Kluyveromyces lactis: one gene and its partner. The protein of the gene in region 1 interacts with the protein of each later gene in a biochemical or structural test. Links are inferred from orthologs where the notes say so. Each region holds a gene or a part of one and is shown on either strand. Other genes may lie near its edges.

What was found.
Region 2: the proteins of RPN11 (region 1) and RPN9 form a complex in vitro, tested with the Saccharomyces cerevisiae proteins (2 studies listed by BioGRID). The link is inferred for Kluyveromyces lactis from reciprocal best matches to the Saccharomyces cerevisiae genes RPN11 and RPN9.

Annotation. Positions count from the first base shown.
Region 1 is NC_006041.1:1,251,380-1,254,695, reverse strand, and holds RPN11 (proteasome regulatory particle lid subunit RPN11), read left to right. Parts: upstream 1-1,880; coding exon 1,881-2,816; downstream 2,817-3,316. Other genes in the region: linker nucleoporin NIC96, read left to right, coding at 1-483; type 1 protein phosphatase-activating protein YPI1, read right to left, coding at 731-1,198; mRNA splicing protein SAD1, read right to left, coding at 2,929-3,316. UniProt on the Saccharomyces cerevisiae protein: Component of the lid subcomplex of the 26S proteasome, a multiprotein complex involved in the ATP-dependent degradation of ubiquitinated proteins.
Region 2 is NC_006038.1:62,864-66,442, forward strand, and holds RPN9 (proteasome regulatory particle lid subunit RPN9), read left to right. Parts: upstream 1-1,420; coding exon 1,421-2,605; downstream 2,606-3,579. Other genes in the region: SNX41 (Snx41p), read left to right, coding at 1-1,119; TIF35 (translation initiation factor eIF3 core subunit g), read right to left, coding at 3,120-3,579. UniProt on the Saccharomyces cerevisiae protein: Acts as a regulatory subunit of the 26S proteasome which is involved in the ATP-dependent degradation of ubiquitinated proteins.

The DNA.
Region 1 (3,316 bases):
AACAGCGAAACGAATTACGTCTTAATGGCAAAGAAGTTAATCGAAGTGTACATCAACAACATCGAAATCTCTAAAAAGGTTCAGGCAAGAAACAAAGAAACATGTATTGTCTTGTTGAAACTAGCTGATATAAGAGCATCATTCCTAGCACGCCAATGGCAAAACACCCTACAACAGATTGAAGATCTCGATTTAATTCCGTTCACGGATGAAAGCTCGACCAGAAAAAGAGCACAAGAATTTACACATTTGGATGAGAATATATTAAAGAACATACCTAACCTGTTGATAATTACAATGCTATGCATTTCTAACATCATAAAGCAGTTGAACGAAAGTGATTACCAATCTTTGACTAAAAAGCAGCAAATCGATTCTCTCAAACGTGTTGCTAAAAATTGTATGATTTATGCTGGTATGATTCAATACAAAATGCCAAGAGAAACTTACAGCATATTAATCAATATAGAAGTTGGTTTGTAGCAGAGCTCTCATTTATGAGCACCTGAGTTATGTCAGAACCCAGACGTCCTACCATAATAGCATACAATAAAATAACCATGTGTAAGTCGATTGTTATTCGATATAATTGCCTGATAGATTATATATGCATATGTATATATATACATTTGAACTGCCAATTACCTTTTCAGCAGTGCATTGTTGTAGTGAGTAGAAGATGCAACGAAATGTACAAGAAGTGAAAGAGTATGCTGATCAAATTCCTAAATCATTGAGCGTCTTTTCTGTTCTTATCTCTATAAGCGCTGTAATCTGGCTGGACTTCGTATGCATTCGGACTTGGTGGACGTTTTTGCTCAAGCTTTTTTCTCCGCCTTTCGAGTCTTGCCTTTCTTCTTTCGTCAAAGCTTTTTCCCTCATCCTCGTCTGAAGAAGACGAAGATGATGAAGACGATGAATCATGTCCATGATTATGATCGTGCTCGCACTCTCCTTCCTCTTCTTCATCACTCTCTAATGGGGTATTAGGATGGAAAATGCAACAAATCTTAGTTTTCTTCTTGTTCATGTTCTCATTATCTATTACTTTCTCATCCCATCTTACTTTAGACTTGGTGTCCTTCTTCTTAGTTTTGTTTTTCTCATTCTGGCCAGCACGCAATTGAAGCAGCTGCGGAACCTCCGTAACAGTGACGGTATGCGTTCCTTCAGGAAGAGCAGAAGGTCCTTCACTCATATGTTAGGAAATATTTCAAAGTTTAATTATGATGATGGATCAAACTGATAAAAAAAGCGTGACGATAGGTAAAGTTTTCCTGTCTAAGTCTTGATAATCTTTCGTAATTTCACTTATCAAAGGACTGGGAACAAAGTATGAATAATGTAAGAAATCGTTTCCTATTTCTAAAATCTTCGGCGTCAATAAAACGGAATATTTTCTTCAACAAGTCGTGCTCTCGAGTATTTGACTGTACTAGACCATGGAGCTTCGCTTTGTATATGAGATATCCATGTATGCATAGAAGTACTCCAGTCTCATCTCATTTTTAAAGGGAAGAAAGAGGTTAAATATCTGAAGGTCAGAAAGTGGTGATGTTCGTTAATAATGACTACTAAATCCATAAGCCAAAAGAAAGATCGTAACTTTGTAATGCAGTGGCAAACAGTTTACAATTGATAAAGGTATAAGCAGATAATTCGTCAAGAATTCTCATCTCTGTACGTGTGGTATCCATAAGTCATTATTAGCAGTATTAGATACACAGTAATTGAAATCTACAAGACAATTGCATACTTCTCAGGAAAGAATAAGAATTTCAATTTGTTGGTACTTTATTAAGGAAGTATTATATCAAGAAACAGAACGCTGATACAAAAGCCAATTTATCGTCTCCGCAATTCAAATCCTTCAACAAAAGATGGAAAGTTTACAAAGAATGATGATGTCTCAAAGAGCAGGCATGATGGGTGCCAATGCCACCGAGGTTCCCCTTGATGACACCAAGGAAACTGTGTACATTTCTTCTCTTGCATTGTTGAAGATGTTGAAACATGGGAGAGCTGGTGTTCCAATGGAAGTCATGGGTCTTATGTTGGGAGAATTTGTTGATGATTATACAGTAAACGTTGTCGATGTGTTTGCCATGCCTCAGTCAGGTACAGGTGTTTCTGTCGAGGCTGTTGATGATGTTTTTCAAGCTAAGATGATGGATATGTTAAAACAAACAGGAAGAGATCAAATGGTTGTCGGATGGTACCATTCACATCCGGGTTTTGGTTGTTGGTTATCTTCAGTAGATGTGAATACTCAGAAATCATTTGAACAATTAAACAGCAGGGCTGTGGCGGTGGTTGTTGATCCTATTCAATCGGTGAAGGGTAAAGTGGTCATTGATGCATTCAGACTAATTGACCCTTCTACTGTCATGAGAAACCAGGAACCAAGGCAAAATACTTCTAATATCGGGTTGATCAACAAACCGAATATTCAAGCGTTGATTCATGGTCTAAATAGGCATTATTACTCGCTTAATATCGATTATCACAAGACTTCCGCCGAAATGAACATGTTAATGAATCTACATAAGGAACAATGGCAATCGGGACTAAAAATGCATGATTTCAAGGAAAGAGAGGAGCACAACTTGGGTGAAACTCAGAAAATGATTAAGATCGCTGAACAATTCACTAAGAGAATTGAGGAAGAGAGAGAATTGAGTGAAGAAGAATTGAAAACGCGTTATGTAGGAAAACAGGATCCAAAAAGACATCTTGCAGAGACTGCTGAAAAGCTCTTGGAAGACAATATAGTATCTGTATTAACAGCGGGTGTTAACTCTGTTGCTATTAAATAACCATCTTACATACAGTAAAAATACATCAACTTCAATTTGCGAGATAAGTTTTAGCCGATGAAATGATGAATCGATCCAAGAGTGTAGATAATCTGAATAACGAAAGCAGTTTCTAAACGCGTTGCCATATTTGAATGTAACATTCTTTAAGGAAAAGAAACTCTTTCTCAACCTTATTCACTTCAATGTCATCAAACTCGTACCATTGGTCGCGTAAAGTATCAGCGAGGTGTACTTTCCATCTGCTGGCTAACAAATCTTCTGTATCCGATATTTTCATTTGTATTACGCAATCATGGGTGATATTTACTAGTAATTTATAGTGTACACCACTGAATTCTAATTTTTCAGAGAACTCTACTAGAGTTTTGTTTCTATCTTTAATGGAAGTGAAGCCTTTGTCAAACCTGTTGAAATGAAGTATTAGGAATTTAGGATGCTTCAATATACGGTACGTTTTGATGGAATCTTTGGTATGGTATTCTGTTTCGCCATTGAAT
Region 2 (3,579 bases), on another chromosome or scaffold:
GAGATAAGGAATCATATCGTGTTTCAAAAATTCTTGAATCCAGAATATTTCTGGAAGGAAGTTTTAAATACCCCACCGATCTCAATCCTACCAATGAATAATCTTTTAGCGCCTCCATTAAATCCCACGAAACCAAGCCCCATACATTTATTATTGCCAACACCTACGGTGCTGACAATGCGTAAGCATGAACAATTGATAGGCCGGAACGATGTGATGGAGATCAAGTTCGCGGATTACGATTCAGATCTCATCAGGTACAAGGCGATCCTACAACCTTTGAACAAGACCGTTAGAAGTATAAGGTCGAATATTCAAACTTATTCGGCTGTTTTATCTGAACTCGGCGCGTATTTCAACGCGTTCAGTCTAGAGAATAGCGTGTTTCAAGTGAGTGCATTATTTGAACAAATGAATCGTCTATCGATGGGAATAGAGAAGACAGGTCAAGCAATCGATGTGAATTATGTTAGTGCAGAGATATTTAGTGAAGCAATCATGATCAGTCTAGAAGAGGGAAGCAAAGAAATGCTTCAGTTCATTCATGAAGCACAAAGAGTTCTTCACTTCAGAAATTTCAAGCAAGAACAATTTTACACAATTGAAACTACGATAAAGAAGAGGAAAGATAGAATCCGTGAATTGAAAGAGGCAGACCTACAAGCTGTACGATTGGGCGAGGCATTGAAATTAAATGCAGAGGAATCACCCACCGTTGCTCAAGTTATGGACTCCATGACGCGTAAGTCAGCAAACAAGAATCACACGGACAAACAGATAATGGGGCTTTTCAGGTCATCAGCATCTCCAAACAACAAGTCTGGATCTGATTCGATTTCAAGTGAAGTCGAACCTCATCTTCTAACTAAAGACGAACGGGTTGTACAGGTAAACAAACTAGAAAAGGAACTTGAAAAACTGAATGAATGTTTCAAACTCATCGAAAAGGACTTACAACAAGTCAATGAGTCAATGGATAACTCTTTGAATAACTTAGAGAAATATTTCCATGAGAAGTGGTTCCTCATTTTCCGCGAACTAGCCCACAATATAACATCATGGTTAAAGGATTGTTCAGAGTCTTGGAAAAATGCCAAACAGTCTATAGATAGCATATAAAAGGTTTATATCTCAAAAAGAAAGGCATGAAGTATTGCATTGAACTACATTATTTGATGATGAAAGTGCAGATGGAGATGATTTGCTGTCACATATCTAGTTCATCCACTTCTCACAGCATTTGTTTGGAGAATTGTCATTATTAACGACTTTCATGCTTCGATTGACGTTTTGTAAATATGAAATATATAGATCGATACACCTTCTGAAATGTAAGGTGGCGAACAGAATATTAAAGATTATAGATTAAGGCATACATCGCACGACTAACAGCACTTCAGCAAGCTTAAATAGTCAAAATATGACACACGAAATTGACACCATATTATCTACATTGAAGCAGGAAGTCAATAGTGAATTGGCCCCATTATTCGACGATTTTGAAGACTTGTATGAGAGGAAGCTATGGCATCAGTTAACTGAGAAGCTAGCGATTTTTTTCCATGATAGCAAATCAGAATCGTTCAGACTTCGCCTTTATACCCAATTTGTCAGTAAGTTCATTGACAAGATAAACCAATTGAATGTTGTTGAGTTTTTGTTGCAAGCATTACAAGAAAACGATGACACAGAAGAATCATTACAATATCTAAAGGATCTTCAAAAGGAATTCAAAGAAATTGATGAAAAGAAGCAAAGAAACGATGGTTTAAAACCTCATGTAAATGGGAACTTGTTGTTAGATATTGAGATTGCTCGTGTGAAATTGGAAAAGGGGGACCTAGTTGAGGTCAGAGACATCCTAGACGCTATTGGGAAAACACTTGATGTTCAAGATTCGGTACCTCTCAGAGTTACCGGTGCCTACTACTCGTGTAACGCTTCCTATTACCAAGTAAAGAAAGACTTCAACAATTTCTATTATACCAGTCTTTTATATCTCTCAACAATCACTTCGGAAGAACAACAGCAGCGATTGACACAACTCGAACAACAACAATTGGCATACAATTTGTGCATTGCAGCATTGTTAGGTGACAATATCTATAATTTCGGTGAACTACTTCAGCATCCAATTATTTCAAGTATTTCAAACGATAAAGAATACGAATGGTTATTCAGATTCTTGAACGCATTAACTGAAGGGGATTTCCAAAAGTTTGATCAAATTTCAAAAGAAAGAATTCCCAAGGTACCAATCTTAGCTCAACATGAGTCATTCTTGAGACAAAAGATTTGTTTGATGACTCTAGTAGAAAGCGTGTTTGCAAAGTCTATCAGAACGTTGTCTTTCCGCGATATTGCAGATGCCACATTTTTACCTATCGACAGTGTTGAACATTTAGTAATGAGAAGTATCAGCTTAGGATTGTTGAAGGGATCAATAGATCAAGTCCAACAATTGGTTACAATTACGTGGGTTCAGCCTAGGATCATCAACCAAGAGCAAATTAAAAAAATGAAAGATAACTTGATAAAATGGCAAGATGAAGTGTCGAAATTGGGTAATAAGATTGAAGGAAGGGGTAAAAGTATTTGGGTATAATGCTTAAGTATCGTCACATATTATATACTACGTACATCCGCTTAATATCTATGAAAAACGAAATCCACCAACATGTTTCATTGATCGGTTTGAATTTCTGAAAGAGTTAGACGATATATCTTGGAGTTTGTAATATACAGGTAGATACGTAACACACATAGTACTCGAATGTAGTAATTATACACATATGCTATTGTATCGTTCGAGAGCAAAATGGGTCAAAGAATGTCATATAATATAACCGTATGATGCTGAGTGATATGCTCATTTGTTCAACCAGGAAGTAAGATTATTAGGATACACATACGTCACGCTACGCAGAGATATCCCATGTTATGAAAGGAATGGGATAAATTGTAGGGAACAAATAAGCTGTAAGATAAGATGCAACAACTTTGAAGGTAGAAGTAAAGAGACCTTGGTATTGAAATAATGGGTTTAGAACTTAGTTTTGAAGTAGTTTTTCTCTTCAAAAAATACTATATCAGTTTGATCAGCGAGTTCTTACAGTTTATCATTCTTCTTTCTTTGGTTTTGGCTTAGACCATTCTGCGTGTAACATGAAATTCATGAAACCTCTGCCTTCCAATAATTTCAAAGCTTGAGCAGCAATTTCTTCAGTTTGGAAAGTAACGTAAGCAACACCACGGGATCTACCAGTTTCTGGGTTCTTGACGACGAATACTCTAGGAATCTCACCGAATGGGAAGAGTAATTCTCTTTTAAGCACTTCTTCATCTGCAAGTTCGTTAACCTGGGTCAATCTAATAGTCTTTGCATCATCACGTTCTCTTTGGTCTTGGTAAGCATTAGAAGATGGATCACGAGCACCAGCACGTAGGGATGGTGGCACGTATCTGCCAGAGCCAGAGCCTCCTTGAGCGCTCATATCTCCACCACCGATAGCCGGGTCTAAACCAGCAGATGTAGTAGGTTTCTTTCCCAAAGTGTCTTTGTACGGACAATGCATGGTG